3 linked regions of the Oryza sativa Japonica Group genome follow. The protein of the gene in region 1 binds, or shares a complex with, the protein of each later gene. Links are inferred from orthologs where the notes say so. Each region holds a gene or a part of one and is shown on either strand. Other genes may lie near its edges. The genes, in order: protein TIC110, chloroplastic; protein TIC 22, chloroplastic; protein TIC 20-v, chloroplastic.

Region 1 (4,322 bases):
TGCCGACATGCTATGCACAGTTTAAATGGGTGATGACTATTTCATAATAAAATACCTGAGAATCAGTGACCCCAAAAAGACGTTTCCATGGAAGCAGGAATGTTGATGCATCCCCAAAGACAAGATTTGATACATATATGAGTTTTTGAAATGCCTGCAAAATATTTACAATAGTTATCATCAGGGGCAGTAGAAAGTTTTAAACATCCATTTATGTATCACAGCACAAAAACGTACCCGCCGCTGTTCCATGTCGGCATCCCGGTCCCTTGTTTCCAGCCTTTCTCTGTATATGCGCCTACCAATCTATACAAGCAAAGTCGAAGGCATAAGGAGTAATGGAGGAAATGTGAAAATGGCACTAAAGTAGGAAGAACGTCTCAGGCAAGTAAGATATAAAGGGGCTTGGATCATGAGGCAATACCTCCATGTGCATATTTGCAGCATCTACATCATCGAGCCCAAGAGCATTTTTAAATTTTATAATGGTCTGAACCTCATCACCTTTGAGATCTTCATCTCCTGGAGGAAGTACTGAGTAAAGAAACCTGGAAATAAAATGGAGGTAAGATGGAGCAAAGACACTTCCTATATACACTGCATGACCAAAACAATAAGATGCAACCAATAAATGGTAGATTTTTAAAGATTGATTTTAGAAGAATCTAGTTTAGCTACTGAGTAATGTACAAGAGCTTGCCAAAAGAAGCAACTACGTCTGAGCACATACATACAAAACTGTGGTATGTGAAATGTGATTGGAACAAAATATATATATATACTATATATAGGACACTCATATGGGGCACCATGGTGCCCGGGCACCATGGTATCTAATGTACAAAATCACTCAAATTTTTCAAAATTTTCAAATTGTGAGTATATACCTAGTTATAATAATTCGATTCATATCTATACCTATCAACAAAACAACTCAAATTTAACTTTATTTCACAATCCATGATTACATACCTAACTAATTATATGTATGGATGCTATATACCTAGAATCAAAATCTAACAAAAACAAGTTCAAATTCAGTACAAACATGCTTTGAACTAGTTAGTAAAGTAGTTAATGTTAATACCTAAGTAATTGAAAAAGTTTCATACTCATTTGAATTGGGTATATACTCAATTTCAACAATGGTGCCCGGGCACCATGGAGCACCAAACAAATTTACTATATATATATATATATATATATATATATATATATATATATATATATATATATATATATATATATATATATATATATATATATATATATATATATATATATATATATATATATATATATATATATATATATATATATATATATATATCGAGATGTCCGCATTGATAGATTGGCAATAAAAATGATATTAGTAAATATTATTTTACGTAATATTTTAGCTGTTCTTTGTATATTTCAAGGTATATAATAATATAAATTACTGGATGTAATGGTTGAAGCTCAAATTGCATATCGACAACTAAAAACTGCAAAATAACACCATACTTTGGGACGGGTGAATATTAAGAGAAGAGAGGGGAAACATCCAAGAACAAATACTTGTGTCTAGGAGAAAACAATAGCTATAATAAGGGCACTTGAGCCAAATTCAACACATAGAACACAACAGAATTAGTGTCATAAATACAGTTAGGCTTAGAGGCCATTTCCGTATGGACATTCTTTACCAACATTCAAATAAAGCATTGGAAACAACTGGACAACAGGTGCCAAGAGGATCACCTGGCATACAAATCACAGAGCTCTGCTTTGAAGGCTGCGTCCTGTGTACTAACTCCATATCTGAAACAAAATAAACAGGTAAGACTTTTTGCTTCTGTGTGTGTGGGTGGGGGCAATGTTACATTGAGCACTGCTGCACATACTTAAAAATTCTTACACAAAATGATATCAGCTGTTTGATTTAACTAGATAGGAGTTATAGGAAATGTAGATGAACTCATAACATGACACATTAGTGTAAAGAGAGTTTAATAAGAAAAATGTAGTACGTATAGCCTTTTCCTTAAACATTTTAGTGCAAAAATATAACTATATGTCCCATCCCTAAAGGTAATTTTAGCCGATCAAATGTATTATCGAAATAATTATAGGTTCCTTATTCGCTGAAACAAGCTACACCAAAATTTTACTAGCATTCCGAAAACAAATGGGAGCTTCAAAAATAAATGAGTAAATGCTAGGAGGGCGCATAAATTGGAAGGAAAATACAGATCACATTGCAGGGTGGGAGTCAAGACATCTGATATATAATCGAATCGAGCATACGGGCCATACGGCCAATGCAGCACACCTACAATATAGTCGAGCAATCGAGACGACTCACTTGGTCGCGAGGGCCTCCACCTCGCCGCTCTCCAGCTTGGTGGGGTCGTCGCATCCGGCGACGTAGTTGTGCAGCCCGACGGCGGCGACCTCCGGCACGACGGAGTTCACCGCGGCGGCCCCGGCGACGCTGGCCGCCCCGAGCACCGCGGCGCCCGCGACCGCCACGGCCCTCGACCCCCCACCCGCGCGGAGCCCGATGCCGTACCCCGCCGCCACCGCCGCCGCGGCCACCGCCAGCTCCGCCGCCGTCCTCGCCGCGGGCGGCAGCGCCTCCACCAGCGGCTGCACCCCCGCCAGCTCCCTCCTCGGCCCGAACACCTCCTCCCCCGCCCCCACCGCCGCGCGGCACAGCAGCCTCAGCCCGCGCCTCCCAGCGCGGAGCCTCGCCCCCACGGAGGAAGAGGAGGCGCGGGGTCTCCGGGGAGGGAAGCGGAGGAGGGGGAGGGGCTTGAGCGGCGCGAAGAGGAGGGGCGCGGGCGCGGGCGAGGGCGAGGGCTTCGCGGAGGCCAGGGCGAGCTCCATGGTCGTTGTCGTGGGATGATGGATCCCCTGCCGCCTCGGTGTTCGCGGGCGGCTACTCCACCGTCGTGGTGGTGGTGGTCCTCGTCGGCGGCGGCGGCGAAGGGTGGCGACGGGTGGTGGGGGGGAGGAGGTGGTGGTGGATGAGGCGGAAGAGGCGAGGTGGAGGAGGAGGAGATGGGATAGCGTTACGAGGCGGGGATTGGTGAGGTCGGGGCAGGGGCGGCTGGACCAAAGGGAAGGGTTGGGGTTGGGTGGGCGCCTGCGACCAGCGGTAGACGTGCGGTGCACCGGGAGAGCGGGTTGTCGCCAGGTGATGGCGTCCGGTGTATCGTATACTGTATGCATGCATTGCATCTCACATGAACAGGGCTACACAAGTATACTGGTTGTTGGTATTGGTATTGTGGAATGCGTTTCTCCCACGAAAAATAAATAGGAACCATCCAAATTATTCAGTTGTTATACTTCCTCCGTTTCACTAACATCTATATGAATGTGGGCAATGCTAGAAAGTCTTATAACCTGAAACGGAGGGAGTATTTTTTAGACGGATCACCGAGGAATGAATTGCTCACATAAATATATTACATCAAATGAACTTACACGGAATAAATAGAGTGAATACATGGGAGTCACCCCAAAAGACACGTGAGACACACTAAAAGAAATACGAGAGAGAGAGAGAGAGGAGGTGTGTGATGTTTTCCACCAATAAGACCACGAAACCAAACTCCTAGTCAGGATTACTCGGTTACTTATACTTCTAAAATTGTATTGATGGTTGTTTTATGCGATTATCTTCTTCTTCTTAGAAGGAGGTAATTATGATTGTCAATATTGGGCACTAGCTTGTTAGACTACGGTGAAAACAAAGGGGAGCAGAAGGTTACATACTGTCAATCTCTACAATAAAGTCATTAAGGGTGAGAAAAATATAATAGTGTGAAAGTAAATTCATCATACGAGATGAAAAATAATATGTAAACAATAACGCATCTGGAGGGACAAGCGGGAACGACGGAGGTGGTGGTGGTGAGAGAGAGTTTAGCTTGCACATCTATAAATGGTGGCCTGTGAATAATATGGTGATTTCTAGGAGAGATAAATAGTGGTAAATACGTATTGTATATGGGGTTTATTTCGATCACAATTAGACGTATGTTAGATGAGTTTATCCTATGTCGTACATGAGCAATCATTCATATGATGGCTACTTATTACACGTCATTCTCAACATTCAAATGTTACAGTAGTATTTGAAACATTTGGTTAAAAGATGTGAAATTTAATAGAAAAATTAGGCTCGCAATTATGACCTCTCACACACGATGTTGAATGGGATGTATATATATAGATGTCGTGCATAGCATTGCTTTTCTACAATTTGTTTTGTTCTCAGAAGTCATTTTCGATGTCTATTATAAGTGTCCATAACACATTTCATGTGATTG
Region 2 (4,322 bases), on another chromosome or scaffold:
ACGAGAAATTATGACAGGACAGTTCATGCATTTACATTTAATAAATAGGCATGGGCTAATAACTAACAGGAACAAGCAGATAGCTTCAGAACCTACCTATTAGTCCATGCACTTTGGTAATATTAAGTTCACGAGTAATTTATACTGAGTCAAGATATTAATCAGCAAATCAACTTTAATACATTTATTGTTAATATTCTAAAATACATTTAATAATCGCAAAGGGTATGTCTCAATGCTTTCCATAAAAGTATATTTTTCAGTAAATAATACAGACATGAGTATTACCTGGAAAACAGGAACACCATCAAAAGCAGTTAAGCCAGATTTTAACTGAAAAAACGAAGGATAATCGTCACTGGGCTGAAGTAAGTTTGTTAGCATTCTTACATTAGTGAAACAATGCATAAGATAGCAATAATCTACATACTATACACTGTTAAGACGTCAGCTCTGATATACTCATGATTCATGAGTGAAAAGGCATGAGTTGTACATTCCATGATATACTCTGAAGTCTAACCACTGAATGTGGACAGTCCACACCAAGAAACAGGAAAAACAATACAGATTATCTATATTTTAAAATGCCACCTTCCCATATGTTTTTTTTTCTTTTGCAAGGAAGGGACTTTCTCCTTATGAAATAGGCTGACATGTGACAGCACTCCATGTGTTCTGCGTGCATCTGTCTAGTGTATGCATATCATTTGTGCATTCTGGTGAAGGCAATGATTAGTGACAGTACAACTTCTCTACCAATAATATATACAAGGAACCAAGTCCATGTGTAAAGTCTTGAGTGGTGATACAGAAAATAGGTACACACATACCCAAACTGCAAAGATCTCGGACTGTTGGTAAATAGTTAAAAACATTAAATGGGAGTAAAATTGGTATATAAGGAGTCCATTGGAATTTTGGAAGATGCAATGGCTGCATTGATGCTTTTAAGGAGTAATGCTGTCAACCTGAGGAACTGAATTCCACTTTTCTAGTGAGATAGAATGATGGCCAGATGGGCGTACTAAACATATCCACTTATAGATAAGATGGAGCAAAGAGCCACAAATCCAGAGAAGAACTAACCTCCAACGCATTCTTAATTTGAAGAGGGTCAGGTAAGAACCGAAATGCAATACCTTCAGCCTTCAACATGTAAACCTGCATTTAGAAGGACGGCTTAAGGTATATTTACATTGTAAAACATAAAAAATAATCAGCATAGTTAAATGTAAGCAATATACTAGTTGTATTGAATGAAGTAGAAACGAGTGAAGTTGCAACGAGGCTAGCCTAAGCCCAAGAACCCTCAAGCATGAATATGCAAGAAAAGCATGGGTGTTGTAAGAAAAGATAGACTAAGCTAGGTAAAAGGGGCAGCACATAAGAAACGGCAGCTTTCCTTGATTTGCTCTTGGAAGAAATCCAGGTCCCACTTTGCTACTCGTTAATATGTCATTCAGTTACTAAATTATCATACAACTGTATGTCCCTATTTAACTCTTGCATAAACCCAAATGCTCCATAACTCTTCCTATGCAGAGTTGGTCCTAGAAGAGTGATGACAAAATTGATCACAAAATATCGATTTAATCCCACCTGATCAAGCGTAATCGGCACCACTTTTGCCCCTCTCCCTACCACCGGCTGCCGCATCCTCACCTAAACCACACAAACTCCCAAACCATTAGGGCGAAAAGAACAAATCAAACAGCAAAAGGCATAACAGATGGGAAGATGAGGATACGTGGGTGAGGAGAGCGTCGGCGTCCTCGGAGCGGAAGCAGAGGAGGCCGAGGGAGCGGAGGCCGGTGGCGGGGTCGGAGACGAGCACGAACTCGTTGCTGGAGTTGCAGACGGTGAAGACGGGGGTGCCGGTGAGCGCGCGCGCGACCTCGTCGGGCGCGAGCGCGAGGGAGAGGGAGGCGGAGGCGCCCTGCGGCCCCGGGGGCGCCGCCGACGCCGTCACAGCAGCGAGGGCTGGGCGCGGCGGCGCGGCGAAGCGGGACGCGAGGCGGGAGAGGTGGTGGTGGAGGAAGGAGGAGGCCGCGGCGAGGGGGTTGGGGGGCAGCGACGAGGAGGAGGAGGAGGAGGAGGGGGCCGACGGGTTGGACATCGGGGCGGCGGCGAGCGGGAGGGAGGAGGAGGAGGAGGAGGAGGAGGAGGAGTTCGGCGGCGGCGGCGGCATCGTGGTTGGCTGGTTGCTGCTGGGTTTTCGGCACGCGACGCGACGGACGACTTGGATGGCGGCGCGCGGAGGTGTCGTGTTGCTCGGCGTCGCCGAGGAGCGGGCCGCGGGCGGCGTGCGGATTCGGTCGAGCCGCACCGTCTGGCCTCGTGGAGTCGTGCTGCACTGCAACTGGTGTGGCCTTGGTTGGGTTTGGTCGGGGGGTTTTGCTTCGGCCAATCCATTATCATTTTTTTTTTCAGTGAAAATATGTTAAGCTCAATTATCAATTTTTTTCAGTGAAAATATGTTTAGTTACAACTTACAATATGGAGGATGAAATTAGCTTCTAAGAGCATCACCAATAGAATTGGAATTATTCGCCCCTAAATTTTTCAACTCCGCGCACGCTGTCTGGGGAAGAACAGAGATCCAAGGGTGAGTGGGTGACTACCGTCTCTGTACCTCTACGTATCATGTGCTGGCCAGCGCGGCTTGCCTTGCTTAGGTGGAGGTCCAATTGCTTGCCGCATTGGCACCTCATCGTCGTGGAGGCACAGGCGGCACGGGGAGGGAGCACAAAGGAAGAGGAGGGGACGTGGATCGGATCGAGCTACGACGTAACGTCAGGTGCGTGCACTGTCCATCTATCATCCAATGGCTGTTGTTTCTCTTGCCTTCAGTCCAAACAAATTAATCAGTCTCCTTCTTAAAAAGCCCAAATTAATCAGTCTACTTCTTGAAAAGCCCTCAGAAAAACAGAGATCTAAGGGTAAGTGGGTGACTACCGTCTCTCTACCTCTACACATCATGTGCTGGCCAGCGTGCAAAGGAAGAGGACGGGACGTGGATCGGATCGAGCTACAACGTAACATCATGTGCGTGCACTGTCCATCTACCATCCAACGGTTGTTGTTTTTCAGTCCAAACAAATTAATCAGTCTCCTTGAAAGCCCTCAGATCCAGCAAGTAGCTTTACAGATGAGGCAAATATGAGGACTGTTCAAATGAGTATGAACGCACGCACGCAAACCTTACCCCTATGAGCATCTTCGAAGACTGGGCCGGCAAATGCATCCTGGAGATTGACGAAATCACCACGGGCGCCTCGTTGTCGACGGGTACGTCGCCTACCACTGAAAGCACAAAGCCGTTAAATGCTGAAAAGTTTGCTTCCATGGGGAGTCAAACCCAGGACCTAAGGTGCTACTGAGACTCTTGTAACAACTATGCTACATGCGCTTTCGCAAACATACTTAGCCATTATTATCATTGACTCATTATGATATTATATAGCATCCTTATAAATACCAATACAATTAAAGTACTGCGGACTAATAAAGTGCCAAATCATTAAATTGTCCATTGTGGTGCCTAAATTATCTTGGCCCTATTAACTAATGATTAGTGTAAGTAACCATTTTCTCAATCATCGATTGCGTTTTAGATATTATCTTACTTTTTTAACCTCTAAAAATCTATACTAGTATAGCCTTTACCAAACACCAATTGAATTCCCCTTTGTTAGTAAGCTATCGATGGTCAGTTTAAATTGGGGCCTAAAGAGATCGACAAAGATCACACATAATTTCTCCAAATCCCGCAGTGATCGATGAAACGAGAGTAAAAATAGAGAGTGGAATCTCCGAGACCAAAATCAAGTCAACACAAAAGATGTGCAAAAACACAAACATACACAGCACAGCGCGCAATCTCACACAGTTACGTACGTACATCGATCCTGATCACGCACACTTGTCGATCACAGTATGAGAGAGAGGGAGGTTAATTAATTCAGTAGTAGGAGGCGCCGAGCTCGGCGATCTTGACGTTGAGGTGCCTCTGCGCGAAGGCGAAGAGCGTGGCGACCTCGTCGTCGCCGGCGACGGCGCCGTCGCGGTTGGCGTCGGCGGCGCGCACCCCGGCGCGCGCCTTCCACCACGCGAACCACAGGTTGAGGCTCCGCAGCGCGCGCTGCAGCTCGTCCCGGCTGATCCTCCCGTCGCCGTCCGCGTCGAACTGCCCCAGCCACGCCCTGAACTCCTCCACCGTCACCTCCCCTTGCGGCAGCGCCCTGTACCTCCTGAACGCCATCTTCGCTAGCTAGCTTAGCTGATTCGATCACTCGATCTGCTGATCAGTTGCTCTACTT
Region 3 (3,964 bases), on another chromosome or scaffold:
ATTAAGAACTAGATCCACTAACTTTAATGTCTTTTAAACGCAGAGAACAGCACACCCAGCAATCAGCCACCATGGCTGAGCATGTCAACAATGCGCCAAGAGTCTGAACCAGGCAACAAAATGCCGAACAAGCATGAGAAACAGACCCTTCACGATGAAAACCATAGTATTTCTAGCGCTTACTCTCAAGGGTCTGTTCCTTAACCATTTGTTACTTCAAGACTAAAGTTAGCACAATATGTAACTAACAGGATACTACTTCAATTTGCAACAGATTATTCAACAGATTGACAGAAGCTCTTAAAAAGTCAGGACTAGATCCATCTCAAGCTAATATAGCTGTAGAGATCAACCTGGCCAAACGAGCAAGAGATAATACTAGTGACAACTCAAAGGTATAGAGCTTTACAAAGTTGATTTATTCATGATGTTTGAACATATAGATCGTCTGCTTAATAATTATTTTGTACCTTTGTCCTGACTTCACATCACAGATCAATGAAGATGAAGAGCCCATCCAAATAACCAAGAGGCGGTGCAATAAAAGCTAGAACTTTTTCTCCAAACTAGAAAATTCAGACATCATCAAGTTCAGACAATAACTTGGTAGCAGCAACCACAATCCCCAATTGATGCAATTATTTTATTTATATTGCAACAACAATTAACTAACCTAAGCATCCATTCATATACCATTGAAGCTCCTTCAGGGGAGGTCTTGAGGACACTCCCCAATTTCTCATTCATCATCTGTAAATGTAGTCCAGAATTCCATATTCTATAGCGAGTATATGTATTGCTATCTCTAAAAATTCCCAATTCAACTCATTCGTTCATACACTTGATTGTAAATTTTGTAATGCCATTGTACCAACCTTCCGTAACTCCATTCATTAAATTGGTTACTACAGCTGTAAATAATCACTGTACTAAACTGAACTTGTGAATTTGCGATCTACTAACATCAATGAGGCATCGAGATGGATGTGTATATCATTTTCCTTTGTTCCTTTTCACCAGCAAGATTTGACAAAAGCTCATCACATCACCTGGCGCTCGGCTGCATCTGCGACGATTGGCAGCCGCGGCGTCTTCCCTAGCAGGCACGCGCCCCCGCCGTAGACTAGGCAGACGAGCAGGAAGAGGAACACGGTGCTCTCCATACTCTGGAAGAGCTCGAAGCCGATCCCGCCACCGGTGGAGGGCGCGAAGGACTGCACGAGGAGGTCGGGGAAGATGAGCAGCACGTCGAGCGCGACGGCCTGCATGGCGTTGAAGCGGACGAAGCGGGAGAAGGCCTGCTGGTTGCGCACGACGGCGAAGTAGAGGGTGAGGAAGAGGAGGAAGGGCGTGAGCGGGGAGGAGCGGAAGAGGCGCGCGGCCGGCGCGAGCGGGCTGAGCAGGGTGCTGAAGAGCGGGAACTGCGCGAGGAGGAAGCGGCCGTGGTGCACGCCGTCGAGGAACGGGTAGAGGTAGGCGACGGCGGCCACCAGGCGGTCGGGCGCCTCCACGGCGCCGCTGTTGTCGTTGTCGTTGTTCGGGTTGGAGGCGCGCGGCGGCGGCGCGGGCAGGCGGGCGCGCGTGGCCCATACCCCGAGCGCGGTCTCGCCCGCGTGGCCGAGGAGCAAGGGGTGGCGCGCCTGGGAGCGTAGCGCTGGCACCGGCGCCGCGCGGCGGAGCGGGCGCGGGGACGAGAGGAGGAGGAGCGAAACGGCGGATGCCATGGAGAAGGGATTTGGTTGGGGGAGCAGCGCGGCGCGGCGCGGCGCGGCGGGTGGGAGCTGAGATTTTTGCGGGTGCAGTGCCGTGAGGTGGGGGAGTTTGGCTGGTTGGGGGGCAGTGGCGCCGCGCGGCTGCGGCCACCGGGGCGAAGGCGAAGCGGGGTTGGGAGCGTGGAGATTTTTCCAGATTTCGGTGGGATGTGGGGCATGTGGCCGAGTGGGAGACGAGGAGATTGGTTGGTGGTGCCTGGTGCGGGAGGGCAACGGCGAGGGCGCCGCGGCAGGCAGGAAGAGCATTAGATGGGCCAAAGCTTGCGGCGCCGTGCTGTTCACTGGGCCGAAAGGATCAGGCGTACTGTTTGGGCCTCGTCTGAGACGCGTTTTGCCGGTTTTCCTGCGTGGGCTACCAGGCTTTCGTCGTACCATATGCATCGCGATTTCGTAATGGGCTAAGGCGTTGTACGCCTCTCAAGCTGAACTCCGCGCGCGCGGCCCGTAATGCCCGTAGTGTGTCGTTCAGCCGTTGGCACTTGACAATTGGCTGGCAGCGATCTGACACACACAAGGAAATGGAGTGATTTTCGTTGTACGAACTGTAATAATGTGTGATTTTCGTTTAATGGATTTGGATGGTCCTGTAAAAGAAAGGGGAGAACAGCTGCAGCCTGCAGCAGCGTGGCACGTTAATCTTCCCTCCGTTCCACACCCGAGAGTTACCTGACTGACTGCTTCACTAGCACAAAAGCAGACTACAAATCTACCAGCATGGTTTACTAATTACACGAGCTATGCAGCTTGCGGATCTACCATTGCCTCATACTGCCATATGAAAATTCATCAATCTCATCCCCATTGCCTCCTACTGGCACGTTTCCCGTCGAATGGAGCACTAGTAAAATTAAATTAAACTCGATCCCAAGATGGCTCTTGCGTCAACGTTAATCCTCCAATCCATCGCACAAAACCAGGCGCATATGCACGAGCTCGAACGTAGCAGTCTAGCAGAGCGATCGCCTAGGGATCGGTTGCACGTCGAGTCCCTCGCGCGCGTTGACGAGTAGAGATCGGCAACGAAGTGGAGACGACGAGGCACTCAACCCCGTGCACTGTGGGATGGGCTCGGCTCGGCTCGGCCGCGCGCTCCGTGCCAGATTCGCGCGCATCTCTAGCGGCTATTCTCGCGGTGGTTCACTGCATTTCGAGCTGAGTGCTCCAACGATCGATGAGACGATAACGAGTAGGACAAGACCACTTAACTGCTGGGTCGCTCTTGGATCAGTGCTAATCCTATCTTAATCGCCACTGAAAACAAGATGCACTGACTCGCACGTTAACAAGTAGAGGCATGTATTACTTCGATACACCACCACAGCACAGCCGTGGTAAAAAAAATGATACATCACCGTGCATTCTGGTGTTCTATAATACACAATCAGAGCATATATACACCCAACAACCAGCAGCATCTGTTCAGACTGCTGAAACAGTTGGTAGTACTACATGGTAAAACTTCAGGAGACGGAGAGAAATTCAAGATGCAAGAGCAGTAATGTCTGCACAAAGTATGAAAAACCTGATATATAACAATTTCCTTCATGAACCATGATCGGTAACGTTCTGTTGAACTAACTTATCCACTAACCCGCCCCCATCTATACATGAATATCTTCTCTTAATCGGCGTAATTAGGAAACCTAACATCCCCAATTCCCCAACATGTAACGTCTATGTACCAACTACATTTGAGTTAAGTAGTCACAAGCTCACAATTGTATCATCCTTTCTTTCAGCTTCCATCCAAACTCCCTTGTCAATGGCCCAACCTGAAGTTCTGAACTGAAAATGCCGAGCCATTTGAGTCAGCTCGGAAGAAACAAGTTCAGCTATGCTGTAAACGTGTAATGGTAATAAGTATACTCGCGCAATTGCGCTATTAAAAATATCATGATGTCCGTAAAAGATTGGGATCTCGCAAGCACTCTTGAGGGTTAGCATAGAAGTAGTCCTCTTCCTTCGGTTTGTCATGAATCACTGTCCTTTTTGAAGCTGCTCCCATTCGGTTTGCGTGGACAGACTTGATTAGTGAAGAGAATTCATCCCACAGCATAGAACCACTATTATACTGGTCGACCAGCTCAACAATGAGTTTTCGATCCAATAAGATTGTTTTCTTAAAACCCATGAACCTGTAACAGAAAAATAATCAATCAGCTTTACCTCTAAAGAAAAGAAATTGTTTAACA

What was found.
Region 2: protein TIC110, chloroplastic (region 1) and protein TIC 22, chloroplastic share a complex: the UniProt entries of both Arabidopsis thaliana proteins name them as parts of the tic complex. The link is inferred for Oryza sativa Japonica Group from reciprocal best matches to the Arabidopsis thaliana genes TIC110 and Tic22-IV.
Region 3: protein TIC110, chloroplastic (region 1) and protein TIC 20-v, chloroplastic share a complex: the UniProt entries of both Arabidopsis thaliana proteins name them as parts of the tic complex. The link is inferred for Oryza sativa Japonica Group from reciprocal best matches to the Arabidopsis thaliana genes TIC110 and Tic20-V.

Annotation. Positions count from the first base shown.
Region 1 is NC_089044.1:19,363,718-19,368,039, forward strand, and holds the start of protein TIC110, chloroplastic, read right to left. Parts: upstream 3,076-4,322; 5' UTR 2,872-3,075; coding exon 2,348-2,871; intron 1,804-2,347; coding exon 1,744-1,803; intron 549-1,743; coding exon 425-548; intron 307-424; coding exon 238-306; intron 155-237; coding exon 56-154; intron 1-55. UniProt on the Arabidopsis thaliana protein: Involved in protein precursor import into chloroplasts. Forms a voltage-dependent cation-selective channel at the inner envelope of chloroplasts, which specifically responds to a transit peptide.
Region 2 is NC_089040.1:5,941,883-5,946,204, forward strand, and holds the start of protein TIC 22, chloroplastic, read right to left. Parts: upstream 2,370-4,322; 5' UTR 2,192-2,369; coding exon 1,751-2,191; intron 1,666-1,750; coding exon 1,603-1,665; intron 1,165-1,602; coding exon 1,090-1,164; intron 334-1,089; coding exon 289-333; intron 1-288. Other genes in the region: uncharacterized protein, read right to left, coding at 3,965-4,264. UniProt on the Arabidopsis thaliana protein: Involved in protein precursor import into chloroplasts. Imported into the intermembrane space via the Toc translocon. May be involved in the import pathway used by proteins without a cleavable N-terminal pre-sequence.
Region 3 is NC_089036.1:30,721,528-30,725,491, reverse strand, and holds protein TIC 20-v, chloroplastic, read right to left. Parts: upstream 1,948-3,964; 5' UTR 1,725-1,947; coding exon 1,041-1,724; 3' UTR 630-1,040; downstream 1-629. Other genes in the region: transcription factor BIM2, read left to right, coding at 44-191, 275-395, 495-551; rhamnogalacturonan I rhamnosyltransferase 1, read right to left, coding at 3,664-3,907. UniProt on the Arabidopsis thaliana protein: May be involved in protein precursor import into chloroplasts. Not redundant with TIC20-I, TIC20-II or TIC20-IV.